Linked DNA regions of Diceros bicornis minor. The protein of the gene in region 1 interacts with the protein of each later gene in a biochemical or structural test. Links are inferred from orthologs where the notes say so. Each region holds a gene or a part of one and is shown on either strand. Other genes may lie near its edges.

What was found.
Region 2: the proteins of GIPC1 (region 1) and RGS19 form a complex in vitro, tested with the Homo sapiens proteins (2 studies listed by BioGRID). The link is inferred for Diceros bicornis minor from reciprocal best matches to the Homo sapiens genes GIPC1 and RGS19.

Annotation. Positions count from the first base shown.
Region 1 is NC_080769.1:3,389,069-3,403,502, forward strand, and holds the start of GIPC1 (PDZ domain-containing protein GIPC1), read left to right. Parts: upstream 1-6,706; 5' UTR 6,707-6,756; intron 6,757-8,910; 5' UTR 8,911-8,965; intron 8,966-9,981; exon of another isoform or gene 9,982-10,198; intron 10,199-10,479; 5' UTR 10,480-10,566; intron 10,567-12,413; 5' UTR 12,414-12,442; coding exon 12,443-12,730; intron 12,731-13,562; coding exon 13,563-13,748; intron 13,749-13,832; coding exon 13,833-14,013; intron 14,014-14,434. UniProt on the Homo sapiens protein: May be involved in G protein-linked signaling.
Region 2 is NC_080758.1:168,030-182,741, reverse strand, and holds RGS19 (regulator of G-protein signaling 19), read right to left. Parts: upstream 6,030-14,712; 5' UTR 5,986-6,029; intron 5,845-5,985; exon of another isoform or gene 5,408-5,844; intron 2,871-5,407; 5' UTR 2,803-2,870; coding exon 2,773-2,802; intron 2,576-2,772; coding exon 2,454-2,575; intron 1,227-2,453; coding exon 1,152-1,226; intron 1,058-1,151; coding exon 823-1,057; intron 742-822; coding exon 550-741; 3' UTR 4-549; downstream 1-3. Other genes in the region: protein LKAAEAR1, read right to left, coding at 9,721-9,780, 9,862-9,981, 10,241-10,645. UniProt on the Homo sapiens protein: Inhibits signal transduction by increasing the GTPase activity of G protein alpha subunits thereby driving them into their inactive GDP-bound form. Binds to G-alpha subfamily 1 members, with the order G(i)a3 > G(i)a1 > G(o)a >> G(z)a/G(i)a2.

The DNA.
Region 1 (14,434 bases):
CCCAGTTCTGGAGGCCAGAGGTCCAAAACCAAGGTGCAGGCAGGGTTGGCTCCTTCTGGAGGCTCTGAGGGAGAGTCTGTCCCAGGCCTCTCTCCTGGCTTCTGGGGGCTGCTGGCCATCCCCAGGGCTCCTTGGCTTGTAGCTGCAGCACTCCCATCCCTGCCTCTGTCTTCAGGTGGCCCTCCCCTCTGCCTGTCTCTGTCTCCTCTTGTTTCTTATATGAACACTTGTCATTGGATTCAGGGCCCACCCTACTCCAGGATGATCTCATCTCAAGATGCTTAATTTCTTCTGCAAAGACCCTTATTCCAAAGAAGTTCACGTTCACAGGTTCAGGGACAGGGCCATGTCCTTTGGGAGCCTCCATTCAACCCACTACAGGGGTCAAGGCAGTTCCCATGACCAGAGAGCCTGGAGAGAGGAGGCCTGGCAGGCCCGGCATGCAGGCCAGGAGACATGAGCTTGTCAGGGCTCAGAGAGGAGCCGTTGCAGCTGAGGCCCTGGGGATGGGGCTCCTGGGCAGAGGATGGGTGTGGAGCGAGCAGGGCCGGCCTGGGGAGCGTGAGGCCCCAAGGCCTGGCGTGGCGGAAGAGAGAGAGCAGGAGAGAGGAGGGTGGGGCGTGCCCACGGTGAGACAGGCCAGGCGTCAGGGCCCTGCCGAGGCAGGCCCAGTGCCCCAGGCGCGGGAGAAGCCAGCTGGGAGAGTTGAGTCAGGAGGGATGCGGCCTGATGTGCTTTTGCCTGGAAGTTGGAGCTGGAACCCGGGTGGCTTGTCTCAACGGGCGCCTGACTTCCCTTGGGAAGCTGATGCTGGACCCCAGCGTGGCCAGGCCTGACTCCAGATGAAACACTTCAGCGAAGGGGGTTTGGAGGCCACATGGCCCCTGGGTGGGGGTCGTCTGCAGAGAAGGCCAAGAGCTGACTGGGGGCTCCCAGGCGCCCTCTGGCCGCCATGGGGGGAGCAGACCTGGGCGGGGAGCAAGGGTGGAGCCAGGCGTCAGGGAGAAGTCCTGAAGGAGATGCTGGGGCTGGACCAGGTGGGGGCCGAGGAAGTGGAGGGAGATGATTGGAGATGTACTTGGAAAGGAGAGCCGCCCGTCGGCCCTCCAGAAAACAGCACTGCTGCAGGGTTTTATCACGACTTCCTAAAATTCAGCCTCAGAGGGCGCCCGCACTGGGGCAGAAACCTGGGGCCACAGGAGCCAGCCCCGTCAGGGCCACCTGCCCTGCATCCCCTCCAGGCCCTCCCCGCAGAGTGCAGTCCTGCCAGGCTAATACAAGCAGCCCGACCACAAAAAGCCAGGCAATCAAACTCCAAGAGCACTGTGGCCCGGATGATGTCCCTCGGCACTTTCCCTCCTCGATCCGCCCTGTCCCCCACATCTCAGGGCCAGGCCTCAAGTTGAGGACAGTGCAACCCATACCTCCAGAGGGACGTCACGTGTGCTGGGGTTGGAGCTCAAGTGCCACAGCCATGAGTTGCTGTGCAACTTTGAGGCAGTGGCTCCCCTTCTCTGAGCCTGTCTCCTCCTCTCTAGAATGGGGGCGATAGCCAGTGGGATTAATCCTAAAGAGCAGCCAGCACAGGGCCTGGAACAGTAAGGGCTTAATAAAGGGGTCTATTTTTATAATGTTTCTATTTGGAAAGACTGTGTTTATTCATCTCTGTGCCCTCAACACAGTTTAATAATACCAGCTGTTGTTCACTGAGCACTCACTATCTGCCCAGCACCACTGTAGGTGTTTGACAATCATAATCACTTTAGGAGGGGGGTCCCATTCTGATCACTGCTTTATAGACGAGGAGGTTAAGGCACATGGGGGCCCAGGGTGCGCTGTGAGCAGCGCAGGTTACGGAGAGATGTGACCGTCCTACCCTACACCCCGAGGGGGCCTAGGGAGGGAATGAGGATGCAGGAAAAGTAAAACCAGGGAATGAATAGAAGAAAAACGTTGTGATCTAAGGGTGGAAAAGGCCTCCTTAATGAAATGTCACGGGTGCAAATGACAAAATGGATAAGTTCAATTATATTGAAGTTAAGAATTTCCTCCCATTGAAGGATATCACGGGTGAAGCAAATCGTCACATAACGGTGGGGGAATATGTTTGCAATGTCTAATACTGTGCCCACCTCACAGGGTCATTAGGAGGGTTAAACGGTTTAGTAAATATAAATTTCTTACAACAGCGTCTGGCTCGTGGGAAGCTCTGTCATTATTGAAACTGGCCAGGGCCCAGTATCCCGGCGCTATCCAGTAGAATATGCAAGCTCATACCAAGTTGTAAATTTTCTAGGAGCGCATTCAAATAGTAAAAAGAAACAAGTGAAATTAATTTGAATAATACACTTTAGCCCAATACATCCACATTATCATTATTACGATATATAATCAGTATAAAAAAGAATTAATGAGATGTGATATTTTACGTCCTCTTCTTTCTAATAAGCCTTAGAATCCAGTGTGTACTCTACACTTACGGCACATCTCAGTTTGTATTAGCCCCATTTCAAGTGCTCCGTAACCACGTGTGGAGAGGGGAGAGTTTGTGTTAGATCAGACTGGACAGTAAGATCTAGACTCTGTGAGGAACACGTGCACATCAACAAGAAAAACACAGCTACCCCCACTGCAAAATGGATAGAGTATGAACGGGCAATTTACAGAAGAGGAGAATCCAAAGGCCGTCAAGGAAATGAGGAGATGCTCCAAGTGATCAGAAATCAGAGAAATGTAAAATAAAGCAATGGGGACATCACTTGACAGTGAGTCAGAGTGGCAAAATTTAGAATGGCTGGCAGAGATGTGGGGACATGGCACCCTCCTGCACTGCCAGTGGGTGTGACAAGGGCAGCTAGCCTGGGGGACCACAGAGCAATGGTCTGTGCCCTGTGCCCCAGCATCTCTGCATTCAGGTCTCTCTCCTGTGGAGAGTCTCACCAGGTCCCTGAGGGGGCAGGTCCATGGCTGTTCACTGTGGCGTGGGGAGCTGGAGGCTGCCTGGTGTCCATCCCTGGAGGACAGAGGACTAAGATGTGAGGGATGCATTCCATGGAGTTCCATGGAGCACCAAGCCACAGTTAGAAGAAAACAGATTCAAGAGATTAGCAATACAGAGGGATCTTCAAGGCCTAGTGGAAAACAAGCAAACAACTAAACAAGCAATACAGTACTGAGTGGAAAAAAAGTAAGAAGCCAAATATAACAGAACATGCACATTTTCAAGGAAAGACACAAACAAAACAGTGCATATTAAAGCCACTGGATGGCAGCCTCTGGGGATGGGAGGGAAATGGGGGTACTTCTTTCCAATGTTTATTTTGAAATTTTCAAAGCTATAGGAAACTTACAAGAATACTGAAATGAATACCCATATACCACCCTCCTGGATTCAGCCGCAATTGTTACTATTTTGCCACATTCATTTTTTTCTCTCTCTCTCTCTCTCTCCCTATATCTTTTTTTTTTTTAAAGATTTTATTTATTTATTTTTCCCCCCCAAAGCCCCAGTAGATAGTTGTATGTCATAGCTGCACATCCTTCTAGTTGCTGTACGTGGGACGCGGCCTCAGCATGGCAGGAGAAGCGGTGCGTCGGTGCACGCCCGGGATCTGAACCCGGGCTGCCAGCAGCGGAGCGCGCGCACCTAACCGCTAAGCCACGGGGCCGGCCCTATCTCCCTATATCTTAATACTAAGGTATACCATATTATCATAGTGTATATAAAATGTTGCATACATACATATTTCTTTTTCTGAAGCATTTGACAGTTGCCGGCATCACGAACTTACCTCTAAATAACGCACTGTGTATCTCGTAAGAATGAGAACACTCTCTTACCTAACCACAGCACAGTCCTCACACTCAGGAAATTTAACATGGATATATTATTATCTAATATCCACTCAACATTCAAATGTCCCCAATTATCCCAAGAATATCCTTCTGTAGTGTTTCATCTTTTTTTGAAATTTTTATCAAGGATCCAACTAAGGATCATACATTGGGGCAGGCCTCGTAGCCTAGTGGTTAAGTGCGCGCACTCCAATGCTGGCGGCCCGGGTTCTCGGGTTCGGATCCCGGGCGCGTACGATGCGCCGCTTGTCAGGCCATGCTGTGGCGGCATCCCATATACAGTGGAGGAAGATAGGCATGGATGTTAGCGCAGGACCAATCTTCCTCAGCAAAAAAAGAGGAGGATTGTCATGGATGTTAGCTCAGGGCTGATCCTCCTCGCAAAAAAAAGAAAAAAAAAAAAGGATCATACATTGATTTTGGTTGTCATCTCTCTTTTGTCTCCTTCAATCTAGAACTGTTCCCCAGCCTTTTATCCATTCATTCATTAAATTAATGGCTAGATTTTGCCTTTCACGACACAGATCTGTTTCAAGAGTCCAGGTCAGTTTTTTTTGCAGAACGTCCCTCAGTCAGGACGTGTCTGGTTGTCTCCTCAGGTTAAACACTTCTGGCAGGATGTTGTGTCCTCCTCAGTACATCACACACAGCGGGGGCACGTGAGGACAGCCTGTCCCATCACTGGTGATGGCAACTTTAATTCTCTGGTTAAGGTTCTCTGACTTCAGGTTCATCCACTCTGCCTTTTCCAAGGTACCTTTTCCAAGGTACCTTTTCCCCATTGTTTTCAGGCATGCCTCTTGTGTGTGTGTGTATGTGTGTGTGTGTGAGGAAGATTGGCCTTCAGCTAACATCTGTTGCCAATCTTCCTCCTTTTTCCCTTTTTTCTCCCCAAAGTCCCAGTAGATAGTTGTATGTCATGGTTGTACATCCTTCTAGTTCTTCTATGTGGGATGGTGCCTCAGCATGGCCTGATGAGTGGTGCATAGGTCTGTGCCCAGGATCCGAACCAGGGAAACCCGGGCAGCCGAAGCGGAGTGCCTGAACTTAACAGCTACACCACCGGGCCGGCCCCTAGGCAGCCTCTTGAGCTATGAAATCGAGTAGGAAGTGCCTGGCACTGCTCTGTGCCCTTGGGCAACCCCCTCACCCCTCCCTCGGCACTTCCTCATCAGTCAAGGTGGATTCAGGCTCAAGATTCTGCTGCCCTGAAGCCTCCCATGCTGCCCTCTCCAGGTGTGCAGGAGCAGCTCAGATATCAGGGGCAAGCAGGGCAATGGCAGTCCCACACAGGGCTCTGGCCCAGCCCAGGCACCTGATTGCTCAGTGAGGAGGCAGAGGGCAGCAGAACAGGAAGAGAAGGACAATGGCTGTGCCTGTTGCCATGGCAGGCACGGTGTTTGCCAGCTGGGTGGGGCCAGCCAGGCAGCCCTCAGCAGCTCAGCCCAAGGCCCACTTTCCCACCTCACGTGGCACTCTTGCAGGCCCTGGCGCGGCTGGGGTGCACAGCAGCTCACTCTGGGGACAACAAAGACCCAGTCCTTCAATGAGGCTTGAGCAGGTTCTCAGCAATTAGAGGCCTCCAGGAACTACAAATCCCAGAACACACAGCGAACTCCAGGTCCAGCCCCAGCTGCCCAAGTGGCTGGCTTTGAACCAGAACAAGGAAATCTCACCTGTCCTGGCAACTGAGAGTCCTGGCCTGGGCGAGGTGCATTCGTGTCTTTGTTTCTTGGACGTGTTCCTGCCTGAGAAATCCCAGGTGCAAGCCAAACCTAGAGGTGGTATTACCTGGTCCTTTCATCCACACTTGTGCTGAGACCCGGCTCTGGGCCAGTCTCAGGACCAGGGCGGGGGGAACACTCAGATGGAGGAGACAGACTTATGAAGGGTCCCCTCCCTGAGGGCGGAGGCTAGGGTTAGCTGGGTACCCTTTGCAATCTAGCACATAGCATGTGCTCGGTAAGTATTTGCTGGTCTAACCAACAAGTGAGCAGGCCATCTCGCCCTTGTCCCCCATTCCATTGCACCCTTTCTTTGGTAGCTCCTCCGATATTGCACCACCCTAAAGCACGCTGGATCTCCCCATCCGGCCTCCAGGCCTTTGCAGGCACTGTTCCCTCTACCAGGAGCATCTTCAGCTTACTCGCTGAAGTGTCCCTAGAGACAGGACAAAGCCTGGCACGGAGCAGGGGCACATTAAATATTTGATGAGTGAATGAATGAATGAATGAATGCCCTTGTCCATTGTACACCCCAGGAAGCTGGGACACTCGGGACCCTTCCTATTCATTTCGTCCCCGGCCCGCCCGCCTGGAATGAATGCCTCTTTTTGTCCGCTCCGAGGATGGCCAGGCTGGGGCAGGGGCAGGCCCGGCAGAGGACCGGATTAGGGGCTGGTCTCCTAAAGGGTCCGCTTTTCCGGACTTCCGGAGTTCGCATCCCCTCCCCGGGGCTCAGCCTGGGTCACCTGGCTCCCACGGCCAGTCCCTCGCCCCTCACCCCCCAGTCACCCCAGACGGACGCTCAGCCGGCAGCACGAGGTCAGGGGCCCCAGCTTCCCACTGGTCGTACTCTCCTTCCCTCCCCGCGATGGGCCGGCCCGGCGCAGCTCCCCCTCCGCCGCGCGGTGGTACGGCCCGCCGCGGCCTAGGCGGGGCGGGAAGGTCCACTGCGCCGCGCGGGGGGCGGGCAGGGCCGCGCGGGCGGGGATCCCTCTGGAATGCTTCCGTCGGGCCCACCCGGGCGCGGAGGCGCGGCGCGGCGCCGATTGGCCGCGAGCTCGGGCGGCCGCTCCTGATTGGCCGGGCGCGGGCGCCGGCCCCGCCCCCCCGCGGCTGCGGGAGAGGCCCGGCCGGAGTTTGCGGAGGGCCGAGCGGGGCGCGCAGGGCGGCGGCGCAGGTGAGTGTCCGGCGGGCGGAGCGCGGCGCGGCGGCTCGGGGCCCCTCGCGCGGACCGCGGGGTCGCACCGCGGGGGCCCGGCCGGTCGCGCGGGTGGGGCCGGCCCTTGCACGCGGCGGGAGGTCGAGGCCGGGCGCGGGGATGCCCGAGGCCTCCTCCGGCGGGGCGCCTCCGTTCCCGCTGGGGGCAGCGGGCAAACGCCCCCCGCCGCCGGGATGCGGTCTCCGGCCGCACCCCTGCCGCCCGCGTCCCTCTGGACAGTCCCCGTCCCGGCGGGGACAGGCGCGGCGTCGGCGTTTCGGAGCGCTCCCGGGTGCCTCCCCGGAGCTGGCCGCGTCCCAGTGCCCCAGGGCCTGAGGGGGCCTGGGCAGGACTGAGGTCCCGATAATAATGGTGAAACAGCCGCCCGGCTAGCATTTATTCAACATTTCCCTGTCACGTATTTACCGTGCCTGCCGCTGAATCTAAACACCTCGTGGAAGGTGCTGTTACTTCTTCCAGAGGTGAAGCAGCAGACCCAGAGAGCTGGCGTGGCTGGCGCAAGGGCACACAGCTAGTAAGCGGCAGCTCTGGGACTCGAACCCATGCCTCAGAGTCCAGAACTGGAGTCTCAACCACTAGAGCGGATGCCCCGTGGCTCCCTGGCTCAGGTGTTCCTGGCCAGCTCCCCCCACACAACCACACACACCATCTGGGCCACACCTTCTGGTCTTTGATTCCCTCCCCCAGAGGTGACCAGACACCAGCCGCTCAAACAGGAAGCTGCTCCCATGTCCCTTCTCCCCTGAGCCGAAGAGGCAAGGCCGAGAAGGTCCTGAGAAGAGAGTGACAGCTTCAGGGGAGATAGGCAGGGGGCCAGGACGCTGGGGTCCTGTGCCTGTTGGGCCCCTGGGAAGCCTGGGCCAAGGCCAGGCAGTAGGCATTCTCCCCGGAAACACCCAGGAGCCGGTTTTTCAAGAGTGAATCAGAGGCCTCCCGCCCTCCCCTCCAAAGCAGTACCCAACTGGAAAGGGGGGCCTGGGCATGGTGTCCCCCTCCTCCGGCTTCTGTGACCTCCCAGGAACCCCCTCCCCTCCTCCTGCTGCCCTCACTGTGGCTGTGGGGTTACTAAGTGTCCAGCCCCTCCGGAGAAGAGAGGGTGGGGGTGCTGGAATTCCAGCCGACCAGCTCAGCCGGGCTGCAGCTCCTTTCTCCATCCCTGCTTGCGGGGTTGAGAGGAGGCTGGGAGCATCGGAGGGCGTGGTGGTTAGCAGCTCCAGGCTGCTGTGTGCTGAGGATAGAGGAGTTTGGGGAGGAGTCAGAATGAGGACATAAGACATTCATTCTTTCTACAATGTTGATTAAGCACCTACAATGGGCCAGGCACTGTTCTTGGCACATAGGATACAGCAGTGAACGGGACAAAAATCCCTGCTCTCTGGAAGCTGCCATTGTAGTGGAAGGGAGGGACAGGTGACAGCAGTTAACCAGTAAATAAGAAAGGTACCCGCAGACAGTGCTGAGTGCTCTGAATAAAATATGAGGGGGCCTTGGGAGAATGTGTGGGCAAAGGGGCTCTCAGAGGAGGTGACTTTGGGGCCGAGGTCTGAATGACAAAAAGAAGCCAGCCCTGCACAGGTCAGGCAGGGGCACAGCTGGGGCGCAGGCTCTGTGGCCGGACCCAGCTTGGAGTAGCGTGCCTGGGGTGGGAGATGCAGCCGAAGTCTCTGGGTCACAAGGAGTCCAGAGCTTTTCCTCCGTCAGGTGGGAAACCATTGTAAGATTTGAGGCTGGGGAGGGACGCGATCTGGTTTATGTTTTAAAATAGAGACATGAAGTTAAATAACAGCCTAAGACTGGAAGACAAGAGTCCTGCCCGGGCAACTTGTAATTAAGTTCATGGGCCTAAGCCATCGGGACCACAGGGGCGGTTCCCACAGGCTGGGGCAAGCCAGGGAGGCTGCCTGGAGGAGGTGGCCTGGAGTAGGGCTTCTCAGGCAGAGAGGACTGGGATGTTCCTGGGCAGGGCAGGAGAGGAGGCAATAATAATAATGACAATAATGATAACAGCTTCCTTAAACTGAATATCAAGCAAAGTGCTAATCCAGTTGAATGCATAATCTTTTTGGATTCCCATATGCACCCTGAGAGACAGGAATTCTGCCCATTTTTCAGATGAGGAAACTGAGGCCCCATCAAGTGAAGTGACTTGCCCACAGCCACGCAGCTGGTAAGTGGGGTGGGGTCTCAACCCAGGCCACCCTGCCTCTTGTGGCCTGGAGGGCAAATTCATTAATCATCCACTTTTCTTACCACCGTTATGCCCCCTCACAAGTGGGGACACAGAAGCCAGCCTGAAGCAGGCAGCAAGTAGATGCAGAATATGGAGGTTGGGACTTGGTGATCAGAATGTGTGGGCCCTGGGAAAAAGAGGAAGTTTGAATTTTGGCAGCTGATTGAAAGATGGTACAGATGGAAATAGTAGTAATAATCACCAATATTTATGAACCCTTATTGTGTGCCAGGAACTGTTCCAGGCCCATGCCTGATTTCCTTGGAGCTCAGAGAGGTTAAGACACTTGCCCAAGGTCACACAGCTAGTAAGTGGAGAAGTCAGGTTCCAGACTCATGTTCTTAGCATCTTGCTAAGATATATGGGGGGTGGGGGGAGGGGAACCAGAGGAGGTGATGGTGAGGTTTTTTTTTTAGCATCATTGAATGTAATGAAATAACTTGAGGGAGCAGTACTGGTTTATTCATTCAGAATTCAAATGTTGTCAAATATTCGGTGTGTGCCTACTGTGTGCTAGATCCAGTGTTGGGTGCTATGGATAGAGAGATGAGGTAACCAATGAAACACTAGTATCCAGTACATGTAAAGAGTTCCCACAAATCAATAAGAAAAAAAGATGGGCAGTGCAATTAAAAACAGACAGACCATGCACTTTTTAAAAATGGGCAAAGACTTAAACAGGCAGTTCACAAAAGGGCAAATCCAAACGGTTAATAAATGTGTTAAAAGTTGTTCAGCATCATTGATTATGAGGGGAATGAAAAACAAAACCACAATGAAAGAGGACAGAGACGCTCCCTGTCTTCCTGGCTACAGGAGGCACCTTCCCTGTGCACGGAATGATGCTGGGAGGCAAAGGATGGGGGACCCCAGAGGTAGGGCTTATGCTGTTGCTGGGGAGACAGGACCCTCTTGAGGGCAGTGACTACAGCCTGTACCCCTTATCTCCCCAGAGCCGGGCACAGGGACTGGTGGGCTGGTGAACATTAGGATCAGTCATTCATCCATTCATTCATTCAAGAAATATTTATCGACCACCCGCTGTGTGCCAGGTACTGCTCTCTGCACCGAGAATATAGGGATGAATAAGACAGACAAGGTTCCCTGCCCTTTCAGAAAACAGACAATGAATGAGATAAATGAATGAAATATATATTCCACCTGAAAGAGGTGAGAGACGGAGTTGTGTGGATGCCGGGGGGCACAGCCAGTGCAAAGGCCCTGAGGCTGGACTTGACCTAGTGTGTTGGAGGAACGGGGACGAGGCCCATGTGGCTGGAGGGAGCGAGCGATGGGGAGAGTGGGAGGAGACGAGGGCAGGCAGGAGATGGGCCCAGATCTTCTGGGGCCTGTGGGCTGAGGGGAGGACATTGACTTTTACTCCGAGTGAGGTAGGAGCCTTGGGAGGAGTGAGGGCACAGTACAGATGTGACGTGACTTATGTTTTACAGGCTCCCTCTGGCTGCTGTGTTGACAAGAGACGGTAGGGGCAAGGGCAGGAGCTGGGAGACCCAGAGGAGGCGCCTGCACTAGTCTAGGTGAGTGACCGTGGGGCCGGACCAGGTGATGTTACTGGAGATGTTGGAGAGCAGGTGGATGAATGAATGAATGAATGAATGAATGGAGGCATGAGAATGGATGCAGCCCACTGGGCTGGACTGAATCCAGGATGGCCCCTTGGAAGAGGTGATCTGAAGGGAAGGAGCAGGAAGTCCCCTAGACACAGAAAAATAGAATTTGGCCTAGTTTGATCCTCCCCACAGCCTAGCTGGGTGGGTGGAATGTCCCCATTTGCAGACCAGGCACCTGAGGCCCAGGCGCTTAGGGGACAGCTTTGTGGTTACGGCCTTGGACTTAGGAGTCAGACATACTTGAGGGTGCAGCCTGTCTCTGTGACTTTGGACCTGTGACTTAAAAGTGACATCTTAACTCTTTCCAGTTGAGAAGGCCGGTCGCTGCTGTTCCCTTCCCTCCTGACGCTCTCCCTTGCTCACTCCCCTCTGGCGCCCTGCTCTCTCGCTCATCTGTGAGTCTGCTCAGAACCTCCATGGCTCCCACCTCACTCAGAGCAGAAGCCAAGTCCTTCCTCCTCCCACAAGGCCCTGCTCGCTCTGCCCCGCCCCTCCCTGCCCCGCCTCCTGCTGCTGCCCCCCTGACTCACTCTGTTCCAACCACATAGGCCTCCTTGCTGTTCCTCCAACATGCCAAGCACATCCCCACCTCAAGGCCTTTGTGCTGGCTGCTCCCTCTGCCTGGAACGTTCTTGCCTCACATCCTCATATGGATAAGTCTTCCTGACGTGCAGGTCTCAGGTTCGGCTTCACCTGCTCAGAGAGGCCAGGCCCTCCCTGACCGCATCTGTAGAACTCGTCTTGTTTTATTGTCTCCATCACATTATTAGAAATTACATTAGACATTTACACGTTTGCTTGCTCACTGTGCATCTTCCGCTCTGGACTGCATGCTTCTGGACAGCATGCACAGAGCCCCAGCTAGCCTAGATAGCACCTAGAAGTGACTTAGAAAAAGGCAGCCCTTTCTTCAAGCAGACACATCACCACACCAGGGGGTGGTGCTTTTGCATAGTGAACAACCTCCGTAACTGCACATGGTGGCCCCAGTCAGGGACCTTGCTTAACTTATTGAAGGCAGTACCAAAAATGGTGCATGGAATATAGTAAGCACCCAAAACACATTTGTTTGAAGGGAGAGTGGGGGGAGAGGAAAGACTGCAGTGTATCAGACAGGACAGCTTTTGCTGCAGTAACAACCCCAAAAGGCTTAGTGGTTGAACTCAATGCAGGTTTCTTTTTTGTTCCTGCTCCGTGTCCACTGCAGCTCAGCGGAGGTTGCATTCATTGCAGTCACTCAGGGCCTGGCCTTCTGGAGCCGCCAGCATGTCAAACGTAGCTGGTCCACGTGCCAGGGAGAAATAGCCCTCTGGAGGTTGTCTCTCCAGTAATTAAGTACTTCAGCCTAGAAATGTCACATGTCCCCTCTTCTCACAGCTCACTGGCCAGGACTGGTCAGACGCCTGTCAGTCACAAGGTCACTGAGTCCATCTGCCCACATGCTTTGAAGGGGCACAGTCAGAAATTTTTTATGCATAGCACTACTGACTATGACCGACAGAAAAATAAAGACAAACGTCAGCGCCCCCGGCCTCCATGTTCTCATCTGTGAAATGGGCATAATCATGGCACCATGCGGTCCCACATCGCCACGGGGTGTGCGCACTACGGGAGGGCACGGAGCGGGCGCTGCACCTCCTGTACCGCTGTGTGAGTGTGGCCGGGTGTGCACGAGCCGCTCTGCTCGGAGCGCTCCGCGGGCCTGCAGGGCGCTGCGGTGGGAGCGCCGGCCTGACCCCTCTCCCGCCCTGCAGATCTCGGGCGCATCCTCCGCTCGCCGCTCATGCCGCTGGGACTGGGGCGGCGGAAAAAGGCGCCGCCTCTGGTGGAGAATGAGGAAGCCGAGCCCGGCCGTGGCGGCCTGGGCGTGGGGGAGCCGGGGCCCCTGGGCGGAGGCGGGGCAGGGGGGCCCCACATGGGCTTGCCGCCCCCGCCCGCGGCCCTGCGGCCCCGCCTCGTGTTCCACACGCAGCTGGCCCACGGCAGTCCCACCGGCCGCATCGAGGGCTTCAGCAACGTCAAGGAGCTCTACGGCAAGATCGCCGAGGCCTTCCGGCTGCCGGCCGCCGAGGTACCGCGGGAGCCGCGCGCCGGGGTGCTGGTGGGGGGCTGCGGCTCGGGGCGCTGCAGGTGCGGAGCCTGCGCCCGCGGGATGGTGGGGGCCGGCGGCCAGGCTGGGGCTGAGCTCCCATCGGGCATCGCGAGGCCTGCGCCGCAGTGGATTGTGGGGGCTGGCGGCCAGGCTGGGGCTGAGCTCCCATCGGGCATTGCGAGGCCTGCGCGCCAGTGGATTGTGGGCGGGCATTGGGAGGCCTGCGCCCGCGGGATTGTGGGAGCTGGGGGCTGAGCTCCTGTCGGGCTTTGGGAGGCCTGTGCCCCAGTGGGTTGTGCGGGCTGGCGGCCAGGGCTGGGGGCAGAATTCCCATCGGGCATTGGGAGGCCTGCGCCCCAGTGGATTGTGGGGGCTGGCGGCCAGGGCTGGGGCCTGAGTTCCCATGAGGAATTGGGAGGCCTGCGCCCCGGGGGATTGTGGGGGCTGGAGATCAGATGTAAAATTCACTTCTCCATGATGCGTCGAGAGGCCTGACCCTGAGGACTTTGGGGGCTGAAGGAAGGGAGGCGAGGAGGGTGGCTGTGGGATTGAGCAGGAAGTAGATGCAGGGGTCTCAGCAGGCGGATGGATGTCTGCACCCCTTCATTTATCCCGCAGCATTTATCGAGCGCCCACGTGTGCCAGCTCTGTGCTCTGGAGACAGCAGGCAGTTGTTGCTAAGACAGAAATCCCAGTACTAGCAGAGCGGACATCCTACTGGGGGCCCTGCCCAGGCCCCGGGGGTGGAGATCCCCAGACCTCCCCAACTTCAAGGAGGGAGGTGAGGGTTGAGTGCCTCCCACCGCTGCAGGTGATGTTCTGCACCCTCAACACCCACAAAGTGGACATGGACAAGCTCCTGGGGGGCCAGATCGGGTTGGAGGACTTCATCTTTGCCCACGTCAAGGGACAGCGCAAGGAGGTGGAGGTGTTCAAGTCGGAGGAGGCGCTGGGGCTCACCATCACGGACAACGGGGCCGGCTACGCCTTCATCAAGGTGCCTGGGGTGGACGGGGCACTCGGAGTCCTGAGGGGGGACCCAAGGGCGGAGTCCCGGGGGCTGACAGCTCCTCTCGCGCAGCGCATTAAGGAGGGCAGCGTGATTGACCACATCCAGCTCATCAGCGTGGGCGACATGATCGAGGCCATCAACGGGCAGAGCCTGTTGGGCTGCCGGCACTACGAGGTGGCCCGGCTCCTCAAGGAGCTGCCCCGGGGCCGCACCTTCACGCTGAAGCTCACGGAGCCCCGCAAGGCCTTTGGTGAGGGGCTGCCCCCTGGACCGCCATGATCGCTCTGCTCACTTGGGTCCAGGCTGCAGTGCCAGGGGCCACCAGCAGGTGGCGCCCAAGCCCAGCCGGCCGCAGTGGAAAGGGGGGGCAGCCCCGCCCTGCCCTGCGGAGGCAGTGCTGGCTGCCCGCCCAGCTGGGAGGAGGACGGGGGCAAGGAGGAAGTTGCCCCCACATCCAGCTTCCAGGAGACATTAGCTCAGCCAAGTGCCCCCAACCCTGGCCCGCCCCCCCAGCCCTGAGAAGCCAGGCTTGGCTGCCCTGTGCCAGCACCCCGACTTTTCCTTCTGGCTTCACTAACCCTCAGGAATGGGCCTGAGGCCCCTGGGTGGGCGTGGAGGACTTACACACTTCCCCAGGCAGGTGGGGCTGGTCCACGGCCCAGCAGCTGTAC
Region 2 (14,712 bases), on another chromosome or scaffold:
GAGAACTGGAGATAAATATGAAAACTTTTTTTTGATAAAACACTCAGTGAGGACATGTTTCCAGGTTTAAAGTTAATGCATGTGTAAGAGAGAAGCCGGGTCCTGTTGCCTTGAGCCTGGTTTTGAGGTTCTGGGCCTGGTTCCGGGTGTGGACGGCTCAAGCAGGGAGGCCTCCTCCCACCACGGAGTAGATGGTGCAGAGGCTCCATTCTCCAGCACGGCTGCCAGGGAGGAGGCCCAGGGGAGGCTGCTGGGCCCCAGACGCCCCTGGGAGGGTTCTTCTCGCTGTGCAGAGCACAGGGCTGGCCGGCGGGGGACTGGGGTAGGAGGGGCTCTCACCCCTGCCTCTCAGCAAGACCTTGGGGCACTAGGTCCCCTGGGCAGGATGGGGCTTCTGGCTCAGCCTGCACCTGAAGGTCCTGCCTGGGACTGCCCCAGGGGTGCCGGCCCTGTGCGTGTGCCCCCCACTTGTGGACACACACACTTGCGAAGGCAATCTGAGTCTCTGCCCACGGGAGGGGTCGTGTGTCTGTGCTGCCTCAGTGCGGCCTAGGCCTCGTTGGAGGACTGGGAGCCCCCCCGGAGCAGCAGGGTGCGGTAGGTGGGGGAGCTGAGGAAGCGGGGGTAGGAGTCCCGGTGCATGAGTGTGTAAATCTGCAGCTGCGCGTCGTCGAATGTGTGTGCAGATGGCTCCTGCATCTTCTTGTTGATGCCCTCCCGTACCCGGGAGTCCAGGCTCACCTGTGGGGCAGGGCACCATGGTCAGGGTCCGGGAGGCGCCCCCCACCCCTCCCGCAGTCCCTGCCATCCCATGTGGCGCACCTCCTTGGGGGACAGGATGGACACGTAGTCCTCGTAGATGAGCCGCGCCTTCTCGTCCACCACGTGCTGGTTGGCCTCAGCCTTGAGCTCCTCACAGGCCAGCCAGAAGAGCATGTTCTCCTCACTGTACTCTGTGCGCAAGAACTCCCGAAACACACTGCGGCCTGCCGCGCTGTGCATCAGCTTGTCGAAGGACTGCGCCCAGCTCCGCACCTCCTCGGGGCTTGGCGTGGCGCTGTGGGCATTCGCCGCCAGGCCAGGTCAGGCTCGAGTCCCCTCCGCCCAGACCCCCCAGCACACGCACGTGCACGCACATGGCCCAAACTCACCACGCCTCACAGCTGGGGAGGGGCCGCAGCTTGCTCTCCCGGGAGGCACGCCACGCTCGCCGCCGCTCCTCATTCCTGACGGCAGAGAGGAAGAGGGCACTGTGCTTCTCGGCCACGCAGACAGGCAGGTGTGCGCACCCGGTGAACACTGACGGGTGTCAACAGGAGGCCTAGGGGCTCTCAGACACGTGTGAACCCGCCGCAGGCAGGCAGCTCCTGGGAGTGTCTGTGCCTGCTGTCCACTGCCCCTGGGCCGAGGCCGCTTCAGGAGCACGTGACCCGGGGACCTCTACTGTCTTGTTGCCTTTGGGACTTGACAGGCCCCCGTCCCCTTCTCCCAGAGGCCCTGAGGGATGCAGTGGGAAAGCCCCGGGCCGCATGTCTGATCCCTGACTCTCCCTAGGGGACCTCTTCCCTCCCTTGGCTCCTAGCACTGCTTCAGTGCTGGCTCCCAAATCCATACCTGCAGCTGGCCCTCGCCAGGGCCACCAGGAGATACCCCAACAGACACCTCAAATCCAAAGGCCCAGATGGAACTGAGTTCCCACCCTACCCCCGCCTGCCAGACTCCAACCCATTCCTTGGCCCCTACAGCCAAACTCGAAGTCCTGGCTATCCCTGGCCTGCCACCTCGACCCCCAGGGCCCCACTGCCGTCTCGGGCCTGGGCTCAGGCCTCAGCTACTCGCTGGTCAGCTGACCCCACTTTGGGTCCCCACAGTGCTGTCCACCCCATAGCCAAGGGCCAGAGCCTGAATAGGACCAGGTCTCTGCAAGGCACGAAAACTCCAACAGCTTCCCTGCACGCCTGGAAAACTGGTACCACCTGGAGGCCCACGCCCGCCCTCCGGCACACTGCTCTGGAAGGCGGTCCCCATCGTCCCAGGGCCCGGTCTCTGCTCAAGGCCCCGTCACTGACAGTCTGTAGGATCCGCTTCTGTCTTGCTGCACTGTAGGTCCCCAGGGCCAGCCTGGGCCGGCTCACAGTGGTGTCAGTAAGCATGTGCTGAGTAAACGGACAACGAGTGTGCATGCACACACACACAGGAGTGGCCAGGTGTCTGCACACGGACACACTCTTGGGCACACCAGGCACAAAAGACACACACAGAGGGACCTGTGCACTGGCCACTGGTCACCAGGGCCCAACAGCCCCCCTGGACAAGCGCTGAGAGTGGCAGGGGTGTCCTGCCTGCAGGTGCCACCTCAGAAGCCAGCTGAGTCTGGGGAGCAGGACCCCGGTCCCAGGTCTGCTGGCCCGCCCCGCCCGCCCGCGCACCCTGCACCCCCAGGCCTCACGTACCAGGAGCAGCTGCAGCAGCAGCACCAGCACAGGCAGCAGGGGCTGCGGCTGGCGGCAGCCGGGGGGGCCGCATCATGACTGGACATTGAGGGGGGCTGGTCTGCCTCCTCTGGCCCTGTGAGCTGGGGGAAGATGGGGCCTGCCTCAGGCTCCAGGCCAGAACCCACGGGCACACACACCTCTCTCCCACTGCCTGCCTGCTCGTGGCCACACTCCCAGGGGCATGACCCTTCCGGCCTCCCAGATGTTCAGGGGTCTCCTAACGCCCTGTGGCCCCCCAGTTCCCCAGAGGGCAGAGGCAAGGGTGGAGGAGGCGCACCTGCTTCTCAGCCTCATGCGGGGTGGGCATGGGTGGGTGGACCAGGTCACCCGGGCTCTGTGGTGCTGGCTCCGGGACCCTCACCACAGCCTGGGAGTCTGAGGAGAGAAGGTGAGGTTCTCGCTGAGACCTGGGACCCAGCCCCTGCCTGCCTCTTGGGAGGGGTCCCGAGAGCCTCTCCCTCCTTCCCGGAGCCCCGGTGGGGCCTGCTCCCCTGCCTCCCACCCCACCCCACCCTGCACCATGGCTGTGAATGGGTGAAGCTCAGTGAGGAGGGACCCCAGATAAGATCCCCCACAGGAGGTTCTGGGACACCCCCATCTGCTCGTCCCTGGGAAGCCGGAAGCCTGGGTTCCTCTTTCTTGGTTTCCGGCTCCTGGCCCCTCCCAAGGGTCTGAGGGCCCCCCAAATCTGGGGCTATCAAGTTGGTATGTAGGGGTGGTGGTTAGACATTCAGGACCCCCCCCACTCCCCGCCCCAGCTCCCTCCATCCTGAGTGTCCTGAAGGTTTTCTGTTTGGGAGACATGGGTAGGATGCTCTCCACCAGGAGTCCAGACTGGCCTATGGGCCCCAGAGGATTCCGACCTGTTCCCTGGGCCCCGGCCAGGGGCAGCGGACTGGGCCTGCAGCACGGAGGATTTGAACGGGACTTTGGCATGACCTCCTGAGGGTGCGGGAAGTGGGGCAGCGCATGGGGGAGGAGGGCCATGAGCCTCCCGGGACAGATGGCTCCTCGGTCCTGGACGCTGCCCCTGGCAGCCCCTACCCCTACCCCCAGCTGGCAAAGTCTCCCGTCCTCCCCTCCCTTCCCCCAAGTTGCGGAAACCGCGGCGCGCGCGCGGAGGCCTCGCAGCAGGGCGGGCGCGCCTGTCGGGGGAAGCGGGGGCGGCGGCGGGCGCGGGCGTCCGGCTCCTGGGTAGGAGCTGGGGGGCCCTGCGCGGGGCGCGAGGAGTGCGTCCTTCTCCGAGGCCGCGCGGCACCCTCCGCGGTGGAAGCGCGTGGGGTCGCTGACGCCCGAGCCGAGCAGCCGCCGCGCGCCCCCCGCAGGTCCCGGAGTCCGCGCGGGCGGGCAGGCGGGCGGCCAGTCGGCGCCCTGGAGGCGGTTTTGAAGCCTCCCCACCACCGCCCCTGTCGGCGCCCACCTGGGCCCAGGTGAGGCCCACAGGGCCCGGGGTGCCCCCTGCACGTCGGGCACGCGGACCTTGCTGAGCCCCCGCCATATCTCACCGGCCAGGAGGCTCACGAATTGCTTTTACTTTATTTTCTCATTTCATTATCCTCCTTGCTGCCCCCCATTTCTCAGCTCGTGGCCTGTTAATCCCTGTTTGGTCCAAGTTGGCCTCTCGTGGTCTCCAAGGGCAGGAAGGTGGAGGCGGATGCGCTATGGCAGGCCCTGCAGCCACCGCAGGGCCAGGCGGCCCCTGGAGCAGGGATGCCAGCTCACTTGGGGCTCTGGCCAGGTGCGGCGCCAGGACGAGCATGAGGGCATTCAGAGGAGACAGCGCCCGAGTTATGCACACTTAGGGCACCCTGCCTCCAGGGCCTGGGCACCAGAGGCCCCTGCCCTGACCCAAATCTGGGGGCAAAGTGCAGGGTCACCTCAGGCCTTGGCCCTCACCACCTGCCTGGCTTCCCCTGAGGTCACGGGGGACCTCAAACTGGGTCCCACCGGCTCCCATCGAGCAGATGGGGAAGCAGCAGCCCCACAGCACGCCTTCCCTCAGGGGTCAAGTTTCTAGGGAAAGGAAGGGGTGTGGCAGCCTCTGAGGTCTGTAGCTGTGCCCCAGACGCTGTGACTTCCCCAGGCAGATCTGCTCTTCCTCCTCTGCACCCCACCCACTGTGAGTGGGGGCAGGGCCTCAGGCCCCCAGCCCCCTGGAGACTATACCCCGTCGGCTGCAGTCTCCAACCCAGCCCTGAATTGGAGGAGGGGGCCGGTCTGAGGGTGCAGGGCCCAGGTGCTGGGGCTGAGTGTGGGGCAGAGGAAGGGCCAGTCCCTTCTGTCCCTGCATCTCAAGCTGGCTGGGGCCACCCGTGCCCCCAGGGCACCCGCTCTCTCCTGGGGAGTACAGAGTCTGACCCAAAGTCCCTGCCCCTCACCCTGGCACCCCAGAGGGCCTCCTTCCCCTCCCCAGCCCCTTCAGGCTTTGGGCCCCAAGTCTGGGGTGGAAGAGGCAGGACAGGCAGCAAGTTTGGCCTCTAGGGACACAGGCTCCCTCGGGAGCGGCTGCTGCTCTGCTCCACAGAAGGAAAAAGAACGTCCCCGAGCCCGCCAGTCCAAAAAAAGAATAAGAAAATGTGACAATCCCAGAAAAAATGCTGTCGCCCTTAGGAGGGGGTGGCCGGGGGCTCCATTTCCTCCTGATCCTACTCAGTACCCTTCCTACATGCTGCCCACCCTCCCCAGCTGGCTGGTGGGAGAGCCCCAGCCTGGACCCTCCAAGGCAGGCCAGGTCTTCCTAGCCCTGGTGACCCTCACCCCAGCCCACCCCTGCAATGGTGGGGTGACCCGCTTCTCTCTCTCTCCCTCTCTCTGCTGGCCTGGAGGAGCCTGTCTCCTTCAGGGGCTTCTTCCTCTAGGCTCTGGCGCCTCCACCCCTCCCTCAAGGAGCTCGCAGTGGCGCTCCCACTCACCAGCGACCCAAAGGCAGGTGGGGGCGGAAGGGGCCAGGTTCGTTCTGGGCCCCACCCTGGCTGCCGAAGGGGCGTGCACTGCAGCAGCACCGACTCAAGTCAGACGGCAGGAGGAACTCCTGCGACGTTCTGGAGGCAGGCCGGCGCCGGGAGCCCTCGATCGGCTGGGGTCGGGGGCGCAGCGCTTCCCCTGCGACTCGCGGGGCTGAGCCGCTGCCAGATCCAATGGGGTGGGGGCGGGGGCGGGCCGGGTGTCCTGCCTCGGCCCCTCCCCACCAGGGGGAGGGGGGGCGGGAGACGCGGAAACCTGGGTTCTTCCGGGCCCCCCCTTTGAGCAATCACTTCCCCAGGCTTTGCGCTGCAGAAAAAGGGGAACCCGGTTGCAGCGCCCCCTCCCCCACGCGCGGGGGGCGGGCTCCAGTCCCGCCGCGGCCCAGGGTCCACGTGGACCCCGCGGCGGGAGCCCTCGGGGTGCGTACCCCGGCGCCGGCTCCCGAGGCTCCGGGCCCGCATGGCCCCAGGGCCCCGGGCTGGGAGGGGCAGGGCCGCCGTCCTCGGCGCCGCGCGCGCGCACTCACCGGCCGCGCTCCCGAGCCTCTCGCGCCGCCGCCGCCGCCGGCCCGCGCGCTCCGAGGTCCGGCCGGATGGTCGAGGAGCGGGCGCAGGGTGCAGTGCGCAGGCGCCTCGGCCGCACTTCCCCAAAGCGCGGGGCCGGGACTTCCTCGCGCGGGGAGGCGCCCGGCCCGCCCAGCCCCGCCCCGCGCTCGCCGGCTCCGCGCCCCACCGCCCCCTCCCACCGCCCCGCCCGGTCCCGCGCAGGGCCTCGGTCCCCCCGGTCGCTCAGGGTGGCCCGTGGAGATGAGGTGCTAATAATGGGGCCTCTGGCCCCGGGGCGGCCTGAGCTGGCACTGTAGTAGATGGGGGTGTGGCCGTGCCCCCCACTCTGCTCAGCGAGGCCATGCCAGCTTTGCCATTCATGTGGGCGTCCACGAGACTCCAGTCCAGGGCGGGGGCACGAGAGCCCTCCAGACTTCGGCGTCCCGATGTGCTGCTGGCCCCGCCATAAGAAGAGGCCGCCGGAAAGGACTCGGATGGTTCCTCGGCCCGGCCCTAGCCTTTCTGAGACGAGGTGCCCTCATGGGTAAAATGGGTTGAGAGCGCTAGTATCGTGCGGTAGGGGCCTCCCGAGGAAGGGGTTCCTGTGCTGCGGCGCGGTTGGATGCTGGGGTCCGGGTTCCTACATCTGGACTCATCGAATGTCCCTGTCCGTGAGGCCTGGCCTAGTCCCTTCCGACTCCTCCAGTTGCCCCAAGATGTCCTCAAGTTTGAAGCCACACCCTCCCCTTTGCCACGAATGCCCTGTCCCTTCTCTTTGGCCCACTCTCCTCGTATTTTATGACCCGGTACAGCTGTGAGTTAAATTCCTTATCCCAGTATGCTTTGGGCCGGTGTCGGAGAGGCGCTGACCATGCTCTGGAAATGGCCTGCGGCATGTCAGGGTCCCCCTGGTCCCAGGTCAATGCAGCTCCTGTCCCTGGTGCAGGGGCTCAGCCTGGTCACAAGATGCCTTCCAACTGCAGGTGTGTGCACGTGTGTCAGAACTCCTCACCACATAAGGAGAAGGGACTGCACAGGCCCTTCATTCATTCAGCAAGTATCCGGGTGTCCCTGTGCCAGGCAGTGGGGCCCAGCAGTGAGCAAGACAGACCTGCCCTGGAGCAGAGGAGAAACAGAGGCGGGCTGAGGGGTGAGGAGGGCTGCTGACAGCCGCAGGGCAGGAGGGAGGTATCATCGCGCCGCATCTTCGCTCAGCAAAGGATGGGTAGCGCAACAGCAGGGCAGGGCCTGGGGGTGGGGGCAGGCTGGAGGAGAGGGGCAAGGTCAGCGAGGTGAGAAGAGACAGGGCAGAGGCTGGACGCCTGTCCAGACTGGAGGCGGTGGCTTCTTATGTAGCCTAGATAGCAGTGCTGAGAGGTAGGTCCCACAAAGATGGGCCAGGACCTGGTTAAGGTCACATAGCCAGTTCGACACACACCACAGCGCTGGGTGTCTCAGCTCCACCCACCTCCTGAGAAATGTGTGGGGCAGCTGCCGTGGCGGGGGGGTCAGCACACGTCTCTCTCCACCCTAAACCCCCTTCCCCCCTCCTCCCTCCTAGCCCTCCACACAACATCCCCTCTCTGGCGACTCCCCATATCCTCTGGCCACTTGAGCCTGCTCTCCATTCCTCTTGCCTCAGCCCTTCTGGGTCTTTGGTACCTCCTCTGGGGAGTCTGTCTCTGCACAGAGCATCCCTGTATTCCACAGGAGGAACCTAGGTGGGCTGGGCAGGAACTCTTTCAAGGCGACGCAGCACATAATGCTGGAGATGGGATCTGAACCCAGGACCCTCTAGCCAGAGCATGAGCTCCCAGTCCCGAGGACCCACCTGATCCCTCACAACCCCAATGCATTGGGCCTTGGCCCACATGCTTTGCTCTCCCATAGCAGAAGCCTCCTCTAGACCCCGCAGAAATGTCCTCAGCCACTTTCCCTGGTCTCCTCTGCAGACCTAGGGACCCCTCCCTGGCATGAGGATCAAAGGGCACCCATGTACCAGTTCGAGGTCTGGTGCAGAGCAGCCTGTGAGCCCAGCTTCTTGCTGGCCTTATCCTCAGGGCTTGTGCATCTGTCTCGTCCCTCTGTCAGCTGGTGCTTGCCTGATGCAGAGTGACCGTGTGGGGTCACCGCGTGGGGCACAGTGCCAAGTGAGACCCACAAGACTTTGATTTTAAAGATGAAGAAATGGAAGCTCAGAGAAGTGATGAAATAAAGTGTGCTTTACTAAACAGATGAAATCATCCTAGGCACTCGGTACATCCCCCAGAGGCAGAATGCTGGGGTCCAGACTGCCCGGGGCTTGGCCAGGGGCCAGGGCTGGCTGTCCTCCTGTGTGTCAGGGTGCAGTGGCCACCACTCCTGGACAGGGAGACTGCCTCCCCTTCCCTGTCTCTCTGTCTTCAGCCCAAGCCACCTTTTCTCACCCTGTTCCTCCTCCCCCTCCCTGCCTGTAACCCCACCCCCCAACCATACATAGCTCTCCCCTCCCTCCTGGAGCTGCCAGACTCCAGCTCCACACGTACTTCTGGGCTTGGATCAGGGCCAAGGGCAGTGACAGCTCAGAAAGGGCAAAGGGTCAGGTGCAGGGGGAAAGGGCTTGCTGAGGGCACAGAGAGCCCAGGTCCCCCTGCAGCTCTGTCCTGCCCTGAGCCAGGTCAGGGAGGGCACCATCTGTCATGATGCAGGATTTCTTGTCAGACCCCAGCTCTGCCCTCTGCCAGTAAAGAATGCACCCCTCCTGGATCCCTTCTCTGCGGGCTGACTCAGCAGGAGCCCCCTGGCAGGGGACGGGGCTTGGCTGAGTCCCTGCAGCCCCCACCACTGCAGCCACGGGCTGGGAGGGGCTGGGAGCGAGGAAAAGGCAGAGGCGCCCTAGAGAAGTCCCAGACTCTGCGAAGAGTCTGTGTTGACGAGAAGAGTCAATTCTCCAAGGGGAGACCTGCCCAGAAACTGGGGAGGCTTTTCAGAGCCCAGAGGGGGTGCAGGGCAAGGGTTTGTTAGAATGGGACAGGGCCGGTTTCCTTCCTGTCCTGTGTGTGAATATGTGTGTGTGTGTGGTGGGCCGGTAAGGGGGGCGGAGGGGAGCAGAGGCAGCCATTCAGAATTGAAAGGAAACCCAGAGAGTGATTTTCTGTCTGGGGCACTGGGGCCTCCCTGAGGGGTCTCCCTTCCCCAGTCTCTTGGTCCTCTGGAGGACCTCCTGGGCAAGGCTGATGCCCCAAAGGCCAGCTTTGGCTTGTGCAGTCACCCCCCGCCCAGAATATTACCCTCTTCCCTGATCCCCTGATGAAATGACCTGCAATCTGGCGTCCCACTTGGGCTCCACTTTCTCCTCAAGCCTGCCCTTACTTCTGGGGCTGTGACTGTTGCCAAGCCAGGCTCTACCTCCTGTGCCCCCAGACTGGGGGCCCTCGTGGAATCCCAGGGCACTAGGTTGCCTGATGGGGGCATCCCAGGATTCGGGAGATTAGGAGTGTCTCTGTCCTCTGTTAATCTGATGCCCGCCTGTCCACCTGCACCTTCCTGCTTTGTTGGAGGAGCCCCATGCTGTGTACCCTGATGTCTGTGGCATCGGATGGGGGAGAGGCAGCATCCATACTCCTCCTTCCCTCCCGGCGAACCTGGAGAGGGGGAGGGGAAAGAACAGGGGGCGCCTGGAGAACGAGAGCTTTATGTGGGAGGGTGGGGCACGTTCGCGCGCTGTGGGGTCACCGTCAACGCGGGAAGATGCTGCCATCGACTTTCTCCTCCAGGATGGTCTCCACGCGCCTCCGCTGCGGGGGAGAAGGCTGGGGCCAGGTGTGCGGGGAGGCGGGCGGGGCCCCCTCTCTGCCCCTTCCCGGGCTGGCAGGCACCTCTTGACGGTCCAGGGGGTCCCGGATCCGCGTGGGCTTCAGCGGCGGCAGGAACAGCTCCAGCCGGATGGCGGCGCGCGCGGACTTCTGATGCAGAATGAGGAGCGAGATCTCCTCCGCCTGCGGTCCCGGGGTCGGGGTTGTTTCTGGGCCTCCGTGACGTTTTGCAGAGCACCCAGGCGGGCAGTTGCCCCACTCCCCGTCCGCCTCCACCCAGCCCCCTCCCGCAGGGCATCCCAACTGGTACCCCCCTCCGCCCCGCGTTTGATCCGTCTGCACCCCGCCCCTTGCCTCACGGGGGCCGGGCCGTTCTGCTCTCCTGGCCTGCCCCCCAACCTTCTCGCCTTTCCGCCCCCTCCCTCCGGCCCGCTCGCCTCACCCGCATGCGGGTGTAGCGCAGTCGCAAGGCGCGGACTCGGCCTCGGGCCTCGGCTGCCTTGAGGACGCCGAGGAGCCGCTCCTGGCACTCCGCCGGCTCTAGCGGCTGCGTCCACGCGCGCGGGTCGGGCATCCGGTACCCCAGCTCCACAGACTCGCGCGGGAAGATGGAGGCCGCCGCGCCCACGTCCTCAAGCACGTCGCCGAAGAGCAGCTGGCGGTGGCGCTGCGCGGGGGGTGCGGCCGCCAGCCCCTCCAGCGTTAGGGCCCAGCCGGGCTTGGGGGGCTCTGGCGCGGGCGCCCCTTTGGCGCGCTCCTGACGGAACCCTGCGTCCTGTGCGCCCTGTCCCGCTCGCTCCCGCGGGACTATGCGCTCCCCCTCCGTCGCCGGCGGCGGGGGCTGCATCCTCGGCCCTGCCCCCTGCCGAGGGAAGAGGGCTTCCCTTTGGTGCCCAAACGGTGTCCGTTGGGCACCTGCCCGCCCCTCCGGCCTGGCCCCACCGTGCGCTCCCAGCTCCGGCCGCTCTGGACTCCCCGCAGCCACATTTGCCAAGCCAAGCACAGTCCCCATCAGCTCAGCCTCCCTTCTCGGTCCTGCAGGAAGCTGTGACTTTCTGACCCACTCAGCTTTTCAAGAAATTCCCTTCCTGCCCACGGTCTGTTTCTCTGTCACTGAGAAAATGCAGAGACCTCTGGGCTGACCACGTGAGACTGCTCTTGGGGAGGGACCCTTCCCCGTGAGGCTGCGATCCTCACTGTGCTCCAGTCCCCGACGGGTGGGGTCACCGGTCAGTCAGCAAACCCCACCCACCCTGGAACCCCAGGGACTGGTCTGGTCTAGTCTGCCCCACATTGGCCTCAGGGCCCTCTGCTTTAGTGTTAGGGCCTGGAGATGGAGGGGTGGGCCTTCATTGTGTCCTGAACTCATGTCCTTCTGGGGGATGCATGTAGGTTTGTCTGTCTGTGTGTGTCTGGATGTTCTTGTGTGAGTCAGTCTGTGGCTGTGGGCGGTCTCGTGTGTCTGGGGCTCAGAGCTGAATGGACAGCTGGCTTGCTGCAGGGGAGACCCCATCTTCCTAGACTGTCCCCTGCTGGGTCTAGATGGAGGAGGGGAGAGCAGACCCCAGGGAGGAGGTGATAGAGGGGAGAGGGTCGATGAGGGGGAAAAGGGAACCGACCCCAGGGGGGTTCCGTCCTCAGGGCTCCTCCCTTCCCCCAAACCAGCCCACAGCACCGCAGACCCCAGACCCTGGGCCAGGTTCTGGCCCACTGTGGGCCGGGGGGCTAGAGCCACAGTCTAGGTTTCTGCTGGCGACAGCGCCCCTCCCCCCCAATCCATCCTTAGCTACTGTTATCCAGGGCCTGACCCTTGTCACCACCCCCTTCCGGGCCCCACACCCCGTACATCATGCCTTTTTGGTCTGAGCCTCCAACTCTGGCCACTCTCTGGGGCTTGTTGACTCGGTTGCCCGGCAACTGGGAGTCCTGCCCCTCCCCAACTGATGGGGCGGGGCGGCCGTTCCAGAGGGGCGTGGGCAGAGCAGTCCAGGTGGAGGGCACCAGGGTCACCTGCCCCAGCCCCTCTGGGCTGTTGAGGACCCTGGAGGAGGTGACCGCCAGATTTTCCTGGGTGCTTTCTTTCCTTTTTGGGGAGCCCAAAAAGAACTCACCATGTGGTAGCGCAGTGTGGGGGCCAGTGGCGGCCCCAACCTGGGTTGCATTGTATCCAGCAGGACTGTCTGGAGGAGGTGACCTGCTAGGTCAGCCTTCCTAAGCCCTCAGTGCTTCTTCTGGCACCCAGAGAACTTCACCGAGCCCCCACACTCTTCTGGGGGCTGTGGGCCCAGCTTCCTGGCTGGAGAGGTCTTTGGGGACAAGTTTTGGGGGCAAGGGGCGCAGCTATGAGGAGACTTGTGACTGAGGGCCTTTCCCCTCTGCATGGCCCAACAGGTGCTGGGGTTCACAGAAAGGGGAAAGTGGGGCAGAACTCAGGACCCTCACCTCTTCCAAGGCAAGTTTCAGGCCCCAGGGGCCCCACCAGACCAGACCCAGGTTTTGCTGAACCTAAATCTCTGGGTCCTGGGTTCTAGATTTCTGTAATCTATTTGTGTATTCATTAATTTCATAATCTTTTATAACTAATTCACTTTTTAATTTATTAGTTCTATAATTTATTCATAAACTCAACAGTTTATTCTAGAATTCATTAATTCGTGTGTTCATTCCACAGTTTACATTAGGCCAAAATTGGTGCACTAAATCCATAATTTGTTAATGTATGGGTGCCTTCCACGGCACACACATAACTCTCCCCTTTACTCGTGAATGTGCCCCTGGGGCCGATGTGGGCGCTGGGGCCCATAGATGGTGTCTTTTGGGAGTTCAGTACCTGAGCCCTTGAGGTGGGGCCATCCTGGTTTTGGGGGTGGGGTCTTAGCCGAGGTTTTGGCCTTTCTGCAGGAGGCTGTTCACTGTTCCCACTGTTGTGGAAGCTTGCTCTGGCCTCCTAGTCAGAGGGTAAACTATGCCTGTGCTCCCCCATACCCAAGCCTGCACCATACCCCCGAGCTCCACAGAATGACTGTCCATCCTTCCAGCCCCTAAGCCTTCATACAAGTTGTTTCTTGGAAGCTGCCCTGTCCCACTCTGCGTGCACCTTTGGGGTGTGGCCTGGGCCTTGGGATTCAGCACCAACCTGGAGGCTTGTTGAAGATGAAGTTCTCTGGGCTCCAGAAGAAGCAGTGAGGGCTTAGGAAGGCTGACCTAGTAGGTCACCTCCTCCAGACAGGCCTCCTGGATACAATGCGGCCCAGGTTGGGGCCGCCACTGGCCCCCACTCTGTGCTCCCACACGGTGAGTTCTCTGAGACGGGGATCTGGGCGCTCCTCTCAGCCTCCAGGGGTCACACAAGAGGGGGGTGGCTTGCTGGCTTCTGGTGGTGAAGTGGGGTTACAGAGGGAGTGGGGGCACACTCTCTTGCAAGAAGGGACTTGGGACTTTCCCTCTGCTTTTGTAGGACTGAAAAACTTTGACACTTCCTCCCTCCGTAATTTCTGGAGGGCTTGGTGCCCACACAGCCCACATCCCTGAGCATGGCTTCTTCCTGCTTCTCCACACACCTGTGGTTCCACTGGGAGGGCAGCTGTTCCCTGTGTGTCTGTTGAGGCCCAGCAACTGTGAGGCACCACCAGGCAGGTGTCCTCCATCTGTTTCTGAGTCCAGGATTCGTGTGTTTTTCAAGGGCCAGTGGAAGTGCTGAGATCTAAAAGCACGCTGACTGGGGGTCCGGCCCGGTGGCCTAGCGGTTAAGTTCGCGCGTTCCTCTTCGGTGGCCCCGGGTTTGCCGGTTTGGATGCTCGGTGCGGACCTACTCACCTCTCATCAAACCATGTTGAGGAGGGGTCCCACATAGAAGAGCTACAGCTCTACGACTATGATACACAACTATGTACTGGGGCTTTGGGGAGAAAAAAACAAAAAGAGGAAGATTGGCAACAGATGTTAGCTCAGGGCCAGTCTTCCTCAAAAAAAAGAAAAATTAAAAAAAATAAATAAGAGCATGCTGATTGGTGCCAAAGCCTGAAAATAAACTTCAAAATAAAATTAATAAGCTTTATCAAATGGCTACAAAATTTAACATTAAATTGAAAATCTACAACTCAATTCTCTTGTTGCTGTATATAAATATTATGAAGTTGAAATCATAAGAACAAAATAATTTATTGTGATGAAATTCAGAATTATTAAAAATTCTGAGTTTCAGTTTCTTGACAGCACAAGTGGTTGAGTGTGGCTTGGTGACTGAACTCCCCAGGGGACGGCTGTTGTGTGAGGCTGCCAGTGACGATGCTTTGATTCCTGTGCCCAGCCCAGGGGTGGTGAAGCGTGCAGAGCGGGGAGCGGACAGCACGCCTGCCCCAGGCGGCAGAGCTGGCGCTGGAGTCTGCCATCCGCCCTGTGAGGCTCTGAGTCGTTGGGGTGAGAGTGGAGTGTGTTTACCGCAGGGTGTGGGTGTGAATCTCATGCTGGGACCTGGGTCCTGCCCCAGATGCATCTGAGTTCCGATTAGGGCGCCGGTGGGCTCCGACCGTAGTTTGTGTTCTGTGCTATCATTCGCAAGCTGTGTGTCTCGGGCCGTCCCTGTGTCCCTGCGTGTTCTGTTTTGCCTACATATGACGTGTGTTTGAAGTTGTCCTACTTTGACCTAAATACTCGCTCATATAACACGTGTCCTCTGCTGTCACATGTGTCCACGTGTGACACATATGTTCTGTGTCTTACTCTGGCTGCTCAGGGGTCAAGAGAGGCCTAGACCATTTCCGCTCAGGAGTCAAGAGGCGTCAGCCCCCTTTGTGGGTGCCCTCCAGTGTCCAGGGCTGGGCTGCTGCCACCCCCAAGGAGTGTAGTCAGCATCCTGGCCTGGCTACCCATCAGCCAGGTGACTAAGCCTGTCCTTCAGCTGAGACTGTGCCT